Linked DNA regions of Coturnix japonica. Each later gene encodes a partner of the first gene's protein in a complex. Links are inferred from orthologs where the notes say so. Each region holds a gene or a part of one and is shown on either strand. Other genes may lie near its edges.

Region 1 (4,580 bases):
GGTCAACTTTGCCTTAAAAAAAAAAAAAAAAAAAAACAAGAAGAAAAAAAAAAACCCCAACAGAAACAAACCAACCCAGAAATCCCTATAACTCAACAGCGCCTCTCCAACACCTCTCCACATCCTACTCCAAAGGCAACTTCCCTTGAGAAACACGGAGGAATTTTGGCCTGGGTCCGGCACGGCCACACGAGGCGGACAGCCGCTCCCGGGAGGAGCCCTTAGTGCTCCATGCGCCCGCCTGCCCCCAGCCCTACAGAAGCAGGGGGCAGCAATAAGGAAATCACAGACAGTAAGGCGATCTTTACAATGTCAGAAAGTGTATTTGGCATTAAAAAAAAAAAAAAGAGAGAGAAAAAAAAAAAAAGAAAAAAAAAAAGGAAAAGGAAACAAGTGCATACAAATACAGCTAGAAGCATTTCTCGTTTGCCAAGTGCTCTAAAAAAAGCAGCGCAAGTCACAGCCTACATCGAACAGTAATTGTCACCAGGGAAGCACAACAAATAGTTGCTATAACAAAAGGGGAGGGGGGAAAGCGGGGGGAGGGGAGTGGGGATGGGGGGGAAGGACGGGAGGAAAAAAAAAAAGAGAATTAGAAGAAATGCCTTTATAATAAGTACATACCTTTTGTCTTCAAAAAATATAGAAACACAATGTATTCAAAAAAATCAAAATTATACAGCCATGTTTATGAAGTCTACATTTCCCTTGTCTTGGAGATATATATATATTTATATATATATATTTATAGATATATACAGAACCGGAGCAGTTTGGGCGACGGGCGGCGCTGGGCCAGCACAGTCACGAGTCTCTCTCCTTTTTCACTTTCACATCCCCGGCCAGGATGGTGGCGATCTCCCCCTGCATGAAGGCCCAGGGCACGTTGGAGCCGACCAGGGGGCACTTCTCCCCGCTGGGGCAGTACACCTCTCCGCTGGCCCCCTGCTGCTTGATGCTCTGCCGGGAGCAAGGGAAGCAGAACTTGTGGGACGGGACGGAAGGGCACTGCACGAAGTGGGTGTCTTCCAGGCGCTCGTGGCACAGGGTACAGCACAAGGGGACGCTGGCGGCGAGGGACGAGTCCGGCAGGCTGGCGGGGTGCACGGGCTCCAGCCCGCCCGCCGCGCTGCCCCCCTGGCCCGGCACCTCCCTGCCGGCACCCAGCCTTCTTTGGTTCATGGCGGAGGGCGAGGGGGGGCTGCTGCTGTTCCTCCTGGTGGTGGAGTGGACCTGGTTGGCCTCCTTGGAGGCGTGGTTGCCCCCGGCATTGTCCGCCACCAAAATGAGCGCGGCCATGGGGGACTGGCCGTTCTGGGCCGCCTCGGGCGGCGTGGTCCGGTTGGAGTGGGGCGAGGCGGTGGGCGGCGGGGGCGACATGAAGGACGTGGCCGTCAGCGGCATCTTCATCCCTTCGGACGCGGCCGGCAGCCAGGGCTGCGCCTCCCCGTTGATCTTCGGGGGTCCCGCCTCGCCCTCCGGCTCGGGGGACGGCTTCCTCTTCCGGGCTGCGCGGGCCCCTGGAAAGGGAGGGAGAGAGTCAGAGGGGCGACAAGGCGGCCAAGCACCGCCACCGAAACGTGCCAGATCACCGTAACACGCGCACACACGCGGCCCCGTCCGCCCCGGCCCCGCACTCGCCCCCCTCCTCCCGCCCCGGTCCCGCTCCTCACCCGGCTTGGCCGCGGCCCCGTTGCTCTCGTATCCCAGCATCCTGCCGCCCGCCATGCCCGGCTCCTTCTTGAACTTGCTGTCGAAGGGCGGCACCGCGTGCCCGCCGTGCTGGTGCAGGGCCAGCAGCGTGTCCCGCACCGTCTTGGGCTTGGCCAGCCACTCCTCGCCGCCCGCCCGGCTCTTGCCGTCGTTGCCCATCTCTGCCGTGGCCGGCACGCTCTCCGCCGATCCGCGCTTCTCCTTGCTCCCTCCGTCGTGTTCCCCCGCCGCGCCGCCGCCGCCCGACGACGAGGACGAGACGGAGCCGGGCCGCTTGTGGCCCAGCTCTCCGGGCTGCCCCGCCGCCGCCTGCGCCGCCGCCGCCGGCTGCTGGGGCACGGGCACGGCCAGCGGGGCGGGCGCGGCCGAGATGGCGGCCAGCGAGGCGGCGGCGGCGGCGGCTCGGCCGCCCAGGCCTCCGATGGCGGCGGGGAGCCCGGCGCCGTTCACCAGCGGCACCAGAGTGGGCGGCACGGCGTGCGTCCGGCGCGGGTTGGGGCTCTGCCGGTTGAGCTCGGGCGGCTCCTCGGGCTTGGGGAAGCCGTTGGGCACCAGGATGCCGTTCACTTGCCGTCCGCCGCCGTACTCGGCGCCCAGGCGAGGCGGCGGCCGCTCGGCGGCCAGCGGGTGGCGCTCCTGGGGCTGCGGCGGGGGCGCTGCCGCCGCCGCCGCCGCCGCGGGGTGGCCGAGCTGCTGCTGCTGCGCCAGGAGCTCCTTGGCGGAGAGCGGCGGCTGCTTGGCGTGCGGCGGCGGCGGGGCCCGGCCCTCGGCGAAGCAGCCGTGCGCCCGCTTCAGCTGCCGCGCCGTGTCGATGACGAACTCCACGCGGTCGGCGCCCTCGTAGTTGACGCAGCCCCGGCACACGGGCTCGGTGAAGTCCCAGATCATGGCCCAGGGCATGCGGGGCAGGTCGCACAGGTAGCACGACTGCCTGCGGGAAGCAGCCGCCACCGCCGCCGACGACATGTCCCGGCCCCGGGGCGGCGGCGAGCGCCCCCCGCTCCGGCTCCGGCCGCCGCCTCCTCCTCCTCCGCCCCTCGCCACCGGACGGCCGACGGGGCGGCTCGGGCGCCGCGGGACCGTCGGCGCGGCCCCCTCCCCCTCGCCTTCCTCTTCCGCGCCCCGGCGAGCGGAGCCGCTCCGGGGGCCGCCGCTCCCTCGTCCGTCTCCGCCGGCGGCGCTCACAGCGCGGCGGGGACGCGCATCTTCGCGGCGCGCCTGGCGCAGGGCTGCGGCCGCTGCCGCCCGCACGGCTCCCCCGCTCGCTGGCTACTACGGGGCGGCGCGGCGGGGCGGGGCCGGGGCTGGGGCCGGGGCCGGGGCCGGGGCCGGGGCCGGGGCCGGGGCCGGGGCCGTGCCGCGTTCCAGCCGCCACCGCCGCCTCTGCGCGCCGCCGCCTCGATTCTTCGACAGTGCCGCCGCGCCTGCGCGATGGGCGCCCCCGCCCCAACAACGCCAACCACGCCGCCGCCGCGCTCCCGGCCCCGGCTCTGCCCGCGCCCCCGGCCCGGCCCCGGGGGTTCCGCCCGCCGCCGGGGGAGCCCAGCGCCGGCCACGCGGAGCGGAGCGGGCTGAGCGCGGCCCCGAGCCTCCCGCTCGGCACCGGCGGGGTCACCGCGTGCGGTGCGGGCTGAGCGCCGCGGGGTCGCTGAGCTCGGTCGCCCCCGACCCCCCCCCGGTGACCCTGGGGCTGCCCCCGTCCCCTACTGGGCCCGGGCGGGAGGGGCGTCGTGGGTAAATAAAACCATCGCCCGTATTGTTATTTTTTTCTTTATTTTTTTTTTTCTAACTGTTGTCACTGCACGCAGGAAATAGGACGCTCGAGATTTCCTGTCGTTTGCAACCACAAACCCTCCGCTCTCTAAGGCGGACGAGCACAACCCGCGCAGCTCAAGCACGGCACGGGCGTTCCGCTCCGTCCCCGCACAGCGGCACCGCGAGGGGCAACGTCCCCCTCGCCACGTCCCGCAGGCGGGCACGGCCCTCCCCGCCGCGTTATGTAGGTTACGGGGGAGGGAAGGGGGGGCGAGCAGGCAGCGGGGACACCCGGGGGAGCTGTGACGTTTGCGGGGCTCGGCGGGGCGGTGCCTGCGGCGCTCCCGGGGCTGCGGACCTGGGATGCGATTCAGGCACCGGGAGAGCCCCGAGCGGATCGTGCCCCACGGCCAGGCGGGGGTTAACGCGGCTCCGCAGCGCGGCCCTCCTTTCTCGTAGCATCAAAGCGCTGTAAGGCTGTTCCGTGCACCCCCTCCCGGCTGGAAAGTCGCTTTATCCCTGCATGCTAAGTAAACACATCTTGTTTTCGTCTTCCACCCACTGCCCTCTTTCTCCAGCCCGGAGATGGAGGCGTGCCAAGGCGGTTGCAGCGATTGCTGCCTCCACACTCATACACACACACATATACACACACACACATGCACAGCCGGGTTTGTCGGGTGAGGCAATGCGCCTGCAATTGGCAGGGACAAGGCAGGAATTGTAATTGCACTGCATCATGTGATGGCTTATGAAAGAGGAAGTTTGGATGTTTTAGTCACGTACTCCTTTGCCCTCTCGCTTTAGCCTCCAGGTTTTGCGAAGGAAAAAAAAAAATAAAAAAATAACTGCATATATTTATATACACTGGTGGGAAGCCAAGGAGCTGTGTGTTTGCACACTGCGCATGGGGAGCACAGCTCGGAGAGAGCCCGGCTGCAGGGAGGGAGAAAGCACAGCTTTCAGTGAGTGCAGGACGGGGAGTGTGACCCCTATTTATTTAACTTGGTTTCTGATCGAATCAGGCTGGTCAGAGCCACTATGGGCAGCATTTGGGTTCTGCTGCATTTGCATCTATTCTGGTAGAAGAGGCAGCTCTCTGGTAGAGAGCG
Region 2 (3,902 bases), on another chromosome or scaffold:
GACACAGACTGCCCTGCAGCAGCACATGGAGGTGCACGCCGGGGTGCGCAGCTACATCTGCAGCGAGTGCAACCGCACCTTCCCCAGCCACACTGCCCTCAAGAGGCACCTGCGCTCCCACACAGGTACAGCCAAGGCCACTGAGAGCAGCCCTGTGCTGTGGGGTGGGGGTCCCAGTGCTGCCTGTGTCCAAGGTGCACTCATTTGGGTTCCAAGCTCTGTGCAGGAGAGCTTGGGACTGGCAGCTTGGTGGTACCCAGCAGCTGATGGTGAGCTATGGAGAGAGCTGGAGGAGCTTTCTTTGCTTCCAGGAGGGCTGGGATAAGGTTGTTCCTTGCTAAACTGAACTTTTATTCTTCTCTTTTATTTAATCTTAATAATATTGAGGCAACTGTCATCCACAACTGAGGTTGCTTGGGTTTAAAAAGAAGAAGAAAACAAGGTGGGGGTGGGGGGGAAAGCACTGTGTGTGTAATAAGTTGATCCGGTATAATGTGACATGTGACCTTCTTAGGGGATGTGCCATCTTACCCCACTTCATCGGCTTAAATGCAGTAGATGCACATAATCAGCTGGTACTCGGCTCTAATGGGATTACAGTGACCTGGGCTACGTGTATATGGTATTTACACTGCACGCCCACCAAGGTGCTTTTAGGTTAAATGAGAGCTGGGGTATGAAACCAAGGATTTGACCGTGTTACTCGGTGTCCTTAAACCACCTGCCTGATGGTGGCCCTGTCCTGCTGTGCTTTGCTCCTGCTGTGTGTCTCCATGTGATAACTGCTGTGGGACTGCAGTGTAGGGAGAAGCAGTTCTTAGAGCATAAGACTGCCTCATATTGTGCCAGGGAAGGTTCAGGTTGGATGTTAGGAAACATTTCTTCTCCAAGAGAGTGCTTGGGCACCATCATAGTTGTCTGTTGAGGTGGTGGGGTCACCATCCCTGGAGGGAGCATGGAGATGTGGCACTGAGAAATACAGTGGGGTGGGATGGGGTTGGGGATCTCAGTGTTCTTTTCCAACCTTAATGATTCTCTGGCTGATCATATGTAGGAAAGAGGTGTGAGTGCATCCCATCCAAAACAGAAAGTGAAAGTTCCCTAGTAGATTTAGTACCTGAATATGGTGTGTTTGGAATAACCGAGCAACACTGTAGGACTTTCCTCCTGCTTTTCTTTTTGCTATGGGAAAATGGCCCTTCAAGCTTCTGATGAGGGATGGCCTCCTGCAGTCCCCATGTGCTTCTGTCCTCAGGAAGGAGCTGCTTCTCCCCTTGTTCATGGCAATGAGGTTGGATCTGGAGCCTCGCAGCACCCAACACGTGCAGCAGCGTGGCAAGCCTGGGGAGCTGACCCTCGCCCAGCTCAGTGATTAGCAGGATTGTGCTGCTCCACGCAGCAGAAAGCTGGCCTGTAATTTGCAGCCCAGCTATGAATCAGAGTGACTGAAATTGCTTTTTGCAGCGGTGGGGAGGCGGGGATGGTTTGCAGGTGGGTGGAGGGAAATGCTCCTCTCCCATCTTTTCCCACACCAGTTGTGAGGCTCGTGCTCCAGCAGCACTGTGATTGCTGGGGGGAGGCAGATGCAGATTGTTTGCATCTCTTTTTCTTCCTCTTTTTAACCAGTTTCCTGTACACACATGAGCTGGGGCAGCATCACAGAAGGTCTGCATCACCAGTGCCTGTTGGTCCTGCATCCATACTCCCAACCAGGAAACCCAGAATCACACAGTGCTTACGATCCCATTAATGCTGGGTGGAGCAGCTATTCATAGCAAGTAATCCAGTGACCTGGGCTGCAGGCCACTCTGTGTGGGTTCTGCCCCCAGCCCCTGATGGTTTATTAGCTCTTGGCTTTAAAAATAAACCAGGATCCCTCGGAGCTTTATGAGTAGTTAGTTGTGCTCCGTGGTTATTCTTGGAGTGGAAGCACAATGCTGAGTCCACAGAGAGCTCATGATGTGGTGCTCAGCTCTCTGCTGTCCTTGCCTGGCAGCATCCCAGAGCTGGGAGAGCACAGCAGGAATAGGAGGGTCTTTCTTCATTATAGAGAGGATAAAGGCTGCAGCCCTTGGAGGTATCCCAGCCCCTCTTTCTGCTGAGCAGGTCAGAGTATGAAAAAGGAGGGGATGCTGGTGTTGTACAGAAGGGTTTCAATGGGGCTTCTCTGCTGCTTATTTATAATCCAAACCCTTGCACTGATTTCCTCAGTGCCAGTGGATCCATTGCTCTGCCTCTATGGCACAGGGCACCAGGTAGCAGTGCAGAAGCGGGGTCACAGGTGCTGGAGGGGATCTAATTAGTCCCCTTTGTCCTGAATTTAATGCTAGGCTCATTAAGGGTTCTGCAAAGTTAATCAGCGTGCCACAAATTGGATTTTAATTTTTTTCCCCCCTGGTTCTGCAACCAGAGCAGTGCTGCTGTGGGGATGTGGGTCCCATTAGTGTCCCCGCATTGGCGCTGTGTGTGTATGGAGGGTGTGGGTCTGGCCCTCGAGATGCCGTGTTTAAACTCATTTACCACATGATCAGGTTGATAATTAAATTCATGCGGATCCTGTCAAACCAGCTCCGGAGTTTAACACTTCACTTAAAGTACCAGGGTGCTGTAAAGAAGCAGCAGGAGGAAAAAAAATCACTATTCCCATGGGTGGCTGAGGCTAAACGAAAGAATCCTTCACCTGGCTCCCATCTCCAGGTGTTCCCATAACTATTGAGCAAATGGGAGTGATGAAATGGGCAGCTGGATGTTACTTGATAGGGTGGTTCTGGTTGGAAGGCATCATCCAGTTCCACGGGTCCATTTGGTTTTAGGAACGAGGAGTCCAATGGAAAATAGAAACAAACCTGCAGCCCGCACAGGGCAGTGTGATTAAAGATGTGCATGTTGGTTTGGGGGGTGTGTAATGGGGGGGTGTTTGCACCCTGTGGGATCGTTGCTGGTTTGCAGCTGTTGGGAAACAATGCCGTGCACGGAGCAGCAGGGCTGGGGGGAGAACAGGCAGAGAGTAAAATATCATTGCAAAGAGGAAGTGAAAGCACAGGCATGTGAGTATATAACTAGAAGGACAATTTATGCCCAGGCACGAGTGCAGTTTGACATGGGGATAATGAAAAAACGTAGGTCATTGTGGATGACTTAAGCCTTCACAGCTGAAGAAAATGTATGAAATGCGAGGAACATTACACGCTTGGCAGCTCTGCACATCTGCAGTAGGACAAGTGAAATACAGTTGGCCATTCTTTACCATAAACTGTGGTTGTAGGATATGCAGCACAGAGAAATTGTAATTACAGTGACAAGACAAATCAGTAATATTTAAATATTCATGAACAAAGTCTTGGACGATCAATCTATCTTTATTGTCCTTGCCTTCACTGCCGTAATAAATAAGTAGCTGGAGCTCTCACCTTTCATTCAAATGATTCTGAGTTTGGTGCTGAGCCCAAGTTCATTTATCAGGGTGCTGAGCAGCGCTGCGGGGCTGATGCAGGCAGAGGGCTCTGAGTGTGCAGCACTGAGCTCCTGCAGCCCCACATGCCTGCCATGGGGCTGACCCATATGTGCTTGCAGGTGACCACCCCTATGAATGCGAGTTCTGTGGCAGCTGCTTCCGAGATGAGAGCACGTTGAAGGGCCACAAACGCATCCACACCGGGGAGAAGCCCTATGAGTGCAACGGCTGCGGCAAGAAGTTCAGCCTGAAGCACCAGCTGGAGACCCACTACCGCGTGCACACGGGTAGGTGCCGGGATCAGGGCTGGCTGCTGGGGAGAAGGAATCATTGAATGCGTCAGTGTGGAGCTATTGTAAATAGCGGATCAATAGTTAGATCACTTTTGCTGTTCATTACTTCATTATTCGCTGTGTCTGTGCACAGAGCAAGTATCGATATTGGGCGC
Region 3 (4,686 bases), on another chromosome or scaffold:
GTTTTGTTTTCTTGTAGAAAAGGCAATTTTGTCTAACTCCACCTTAATGCGGACGCTAGCTGTCAAAGTATGTATTTGATCCCTCGGTTTTGACAACTGTGATTTATCTAATTAATAGAACCGCTTTGGTTTTGCTTTCCTTGCCTCAGAATACTACCATGGAAATGCATTCCTGTGTGAAGACTGTCTTTGCTTTCTCTATTAAAAGTGAATTTGAAGATCACAAAGAGGTTGAACTATCTCATCTGTTTAAGTGGGCTAATTAGAGTCAAATTTGATTTACTTAGATGTGAAGTCTACAGTGATTCAGAAAGATGTTATGTGGATTTTCAGTTACCTCTAGGGGATGCTGTTGTGTTAAAAGTTCCAGTGTACTAAATACATTATATACAGCTTTGGATATATATCTGCCTTATGGAAGAAAAGTGTGTGCAATGCTAAGAGAAGTACTTGAGATAATATCAGAGATAACATAGAGATAGTATGGCACACCACTAGTTGTGGTAGCAACTATCAGTGTATGGAAAAAGAAGTAAGAACTATCCTGGGGTGATGTTAATAACTATGCATGCCACATCTAACCTGTTGATGCACTGATTGATTTCAGCTCAGTGGAAGGTATCTCAGATTAGTGAAGCGTGTGAAGAACGGCAGATGGAACAGACTAGTTGGTAGTTTAAGTAGTACTTTTCAAAATGCTGTGGCAAAGTGCCTCAGTAGTGCAGTAACAAAGCAGAAGGATTCCCAAAGTGGAAATTAAAATTTCTTACTGATTCTCACTGACTATCTGCTCTCCTGTGTACCATTAGAATTCTCCTTCCCAGGAAGACAGGGAAGAATTGCCATCCAATTTGAAGAGGAAAGAGAGGTAGAGGCAAGATTAGGACTCCATTAGCCTTATTGTTTGTCCTAGAACAAAGTTCTCCGGGGTTTATTTCTCTGTTTCTGTCAAATCAGCCTTCAGGTGTTGATTAGCCACGGGAAGTTCAAGCCGATGCCTGCTAGGTTAGCACATGCCTTCCTCTATACAGATGTTCTGCCCTCTCCAGATGAGTCACACACATCTGTACAAGCAGCGCCAGCCTTTGTGGTCAAGGCTTGAACTGCAGAAGGGCTGACCGCATCCTGGGATGAGACCAACTGCTGTGGAAACCTCCATCATCTGCGGCACTTCATGTGGAGCTGTACCAATTGCTAACGATCCAAACAGAATTTCTGTTAACTAATATACCTGAAAAGAATCAAATGTAGTGACGAACTGATTGGCAGCAGTGCGTGTGAGCGCACAGTACCTATGCACAGAGGTAAACCATCAGTGTCACGTTTCCCTAACCAGCTGCTGTTCTGCTCTGCCACTCTTATATCACTGCAATAGTACATGGCAGTGCCTGAGGTCGTGCTGGGAAATACAGCAAAAGAACAGAGCTAAGGACTGTTCAGAGATGGCTGCGCCGTGCTGTGGTGGTGCAGCAGTCAGGCCGCTGCCCGCATGGAGGCCTCCCAGCAGCCGTGCCGCCTTCGCTTCCCGCTCGCGGTGGCAGCGCTGCTTCCTGTCAGGGCGGCTCTGACATGGCCCCTGCTGCACAGGCCCCTTCTGTGCAGGCTCTCCACCTCCTCCTGCTCTTTCTTTCAAACACTTAGTGCATTTAGAGCCTGATCTTGTACAGAAAATATCCCTGACATTTGAAGAGCTCCAGGGATTCACTGAGCATGCTCAGTCCTCCCCGCCTGATAGAGAGAGGAAGCTGGTTTACATACGAGTCATACCAAGCATAGCCTGCATGTCAGTGCAGTTAACTTGCAGCGGGCTGTGAGGAGAACTAGTGTGTCTTTGTCCTAGGAAATTTCCCTTGTTTCTGTTTGCTTTTTCTTTCTTTCTTTCTTTCTTTTTTTTTTTTTTTTTTTTTGGAGAAAGACTTGAAAAGTTTTCAGACAGTTTTCTTTGTACTGAAGGACGCAATATACTTTTAGTTTGTAAAAGTTTGGAAGGGGTCGTGTGTGTTTTAATCCTTCCAACTTTTCTTTAATATACTTTGTTTTGATTAGTGAAGGCTGGGCCTTGTGCTAGTGAAGTTTCGGGGGCCGGGAGCGTCCTCAGCACCATTCGCCTGGCTTCCATCTCCCTGAATCTGGGTGAAAGCAAACAAGCTGGTCTTTTTTGCTAGCCCAATAAATGCTATTTATGAAGATGGACCTGTTGAACTACCAATACTTGGACAAGATGAACAACAATATTGGCATTCTGTGCTACGAAGGTAACGCTTTCATTTCACAAAGCTCTTTTGTCGGGTGTGTTTTATGTTATTTGTAAGCGTGGATTTTCTTCCTGAAAGAAGATCTCTATGGTTGGTTTTAAGATAGCTCACAGTCTGGGTTGTTAATACGGCTTTGTTTAAGGGAAGGACATTTTTTTTTTTTTCTTTTTCACGTTAGATTTGTTTAAAGGACTGTGTTGCTTCTGTGTCTGCCAGGCAGATTGTTTGTTGGTAATGTCTGCAGCTGTGAAGGAAATAGTTTGTAATATGGGTGTAGGTATTAATTTACATTTCTGCTTGTAACCGTACCTAGCAGTCGGGCACCGCCGCTTTTAGGTGGGGGAGACGCTTTTATACAGTGTAGCTCGAAATAATTTTTACATCAATTCAGCAGTTGGGTCGCGAACAATGAAGAGTTTGAGTGCACAGCCGTGGGGCTCACAGAGGCGCCGTGCTGCAGAGCACAGAGTAGCCCATTGTTTGACTTCTCATTTCCTGCACAGCTCAGAGAAAGCCCTGGCTGCGAGATGCCTCCCCCTCCTCCATCGCGCACACCCCTCCTTTCCCAAGAACCACCCCACGCTCCCGTCCCCTGTGGAAAGAATTACACAACTAGTTGGAAAATGTAATTTTTTCTCTCTGCTGGACTCTGAATTTTACCTATGTTGTCTCCAGCTAATGTAGGTTGGCATTTGCTCTCCATTTTGTAAGCATTAATAGTCCTGTTTTGAAGTTGCCTGAGGTAATAGAGTAAAATAAGTTTCTTAATCTTAGTGGAGTTTTATCTACGTGCAGTTTGAAGAAGTGGTTATGGCTTGGCTTTGACTGGAAAGAAAGGCACCACAGAGCTAATTCGGCTTGGCAGTAGAACTGTTTTTGCTGTAGCCACACACAAGCCTTGCAGAAATCTTTCTTCTGATTCAGCAGGAACATTTTCCGTGTTCATTTGGAAAATAAACTTGCTGTAGTTGTTAGGGAAGAAACAATAAGGAGTACACATAGGAATAGAAAATGCCTATTCATATGTTCAAAAAAAGGACTAGGCCAGAGCTGAGCTTCTCTTTGGAAAATAACATCTTTTCTACCATTAAATCAGAATGGACACATTTCCTTCCTTTGGGAAATGGAGGAGTTTCTTATAGAACTGTTAATATTTGATTCTTTTGTTGTCGTTGTTCTTTCTTTTCCTTTCCTGCTCAAATATGGAGATAACTTGCTTGAATAAAGCTGTTTTAAAGAAGTTTGAGTTTTCATATCAGGACTGAGTAATCCAGAACTGAGATAGTGCAAGACTAGTTGAATTTTCTGGTTCTTTCCTACCTGTGTTTTCTCCATTATAGCTAGAGGACTAATTAAGAAAAGACAACTTGAAGGATCCTTTAACTTTTTGTTTCTCTCGTAGTAAGCAGTGCTTTGTTTGGAGTCAAATAACAACTTCTGATGAAGACCATGAAGTTTGCTTAAAATTCTGCTTACGTAGTACATGTTCATGAGTGTTTTGTTGACTGAAGCAGAAAAACTGTAGCTTTGGCTCACTACTTCAATTCATTAGAATTATGCCTAATTTTAATGGGTGATTCTTTCCAGATCTCCTTTTCCACCCTTTTCTCCATTAATTGTTATTTGAATAGATCTTTGCTTTAGAAGTTAAAAGCTGCTCAGAGTACTCTACTATAGCAGTCTTTGTTTAGCTTAAACATCTGTTGCTATTTTCCTTATTATGGAAGTTAACATTTTTAACACTAAAGTAAACATACAAAAAAATGAGAAAAAAAAAAGCAAAAATTCGGTGGTGTTTATAGTGAGGTGTTTATATCCCAGTGGTTTAAAAAGTATAAACAGTCACTGACAACATCTGCACTGAACTGTAAGGGTGTTTTAGAGATGCCTACAGATCTTCCTCTGCCGGAGTATTTATTTTCTAAGAGCTGTATCAGCTGTGATGGATCTTGTCTTTTCAAGGACGCTGCTGTAGTAGTAAGTAGACTGAGAACAAAGTGCCCTTTCAGACTCAATTAATTAGGATTTATTGAAGGTCATACTTGAACTACTTCTAAGTAGTTGTCTTCCTAAAAAGTACTTTGTACTTTTGCAGATGTAGACACAAATATATTCTGTGAAAATAGGATTGAAATTTCAGTGGAAAGAATTATGTGTCTTATCTGGATTCATATTATATGTATGGACCTATATCCTACAGGAAGTAAGTGAGATGACTTCCTTATTCCTTTATATTCTTTCCTGCAGCTCTCACTGTTACTTATTGAGAGAATATGTTTGTTGATGAAACATACTGTTGTCGTTTTATAATGTTTACTCTATTTTAAACTTCCACCTCCAGTCACAAGCCATTGGAACTATGTGCCATTGATTTGTAGCTGTAGCTTGTACGTAAGAAATGTTCTGATGTTTAAGGAATGGGAAAAGTTCT

Evidence for each region.
Region 2: the proteins of IRF2BP2 (region 1) and ZBTB16 are in contact, whole or in part, in a crystal structure (PDB 8YTH), measured with the Homo sapiens proteins. The link is inferred for Coturnix japonica from reciprocal best matches to the Homo sapiens genes IRF2BP2 and ZBTB16. Residues at the interface, in NP_892017.2 of Homo sapiens: Thr516, His517, Phe518, Val519, Gln520, Pro522, Phe531, Leu557, Trp564, Ala565, Phe566, Met567, Glu570, Thr573, Ile574; in NP_001018011.1 of Homo sapiens: Arg285, Ser287, Val288, Ile289, Thr290, Ser291.
Region 3: the proteins of IRF2BP2 (region 1) and VGLL4 are in contact, whole or in part, in a crystal structure (PDB 8YTF), measured with the Homo sapiens proteins. The link is inferred for Coturnix japonica from reciprocal best matches to the Homo sapiens genes IRF2BP2 and VGLL4. Residues at the interface, in NP_892017.2 of Homo sapiens: Thr516, His517, Phe518, Val519, Gln520, Pro522, Phe531, Leu557, Trp564, Ala565, Phe566, Met567, Glu570, Thr573, Ile574; in NP_055482.2 of Homo sapiens: Arg161, Ser163, Val164, Ile165, Thr166.

What each region holds. Positions count from the first base shown.
Region 1 is NC_029518.1:34,499,230-34,503,809, reverse strand, and holds the start of IRF2BP2 (interferon regulatory factor 2-binding protein 2), read right to left. Parts: upstream 2,991-4,580; 5' UTR 2,680-2,990; coding exon 1,674-2,679; intron 1,521-1,673; coding exon 805-1,520; 3' UTR 1-804. UniProt on the Homo sapiens protein: Acts as a transcriptional corepressor in a IRF2-dependent manner; this repression is not mediated by histone deacetylase activities. Represses the NFAT1-dependent transactivation of NFAT-responsive promoters.
Region 2 is NC_029539.1:3,817,521-3,821,422, reverse strand, and holds part of ZBTB16 (zinc finger and BTB domain-containing protein 16), read left to right. Parts: coding exon 1-125; intron 126-3,573; coding exon 3,574-3,741; intron 3,742-3,902. UniProt on the Homo sapiens protein: Acts as a transcriptional repressor. Transcriptional repression may be mediated through recruitment of histone deacetylases to target promoters. May play a role in myeloid maturation and in the development and/or maintenance of other differentiated tissues.
Region 3 is NC_029527.1:2,993,303-2,997,988, reverse strand, and holds the start of VGLL4 (transcription cofactor vestigial-like protein 4), read left to right. Parts: upstream 1-1,747; 5' UTR 1,748-2,173; coding exon 2,174-2,255; intron 2,256-4,686. UniProt on the Homo sapiens protein: May act as a specific coactivator for the mammalian TEFs.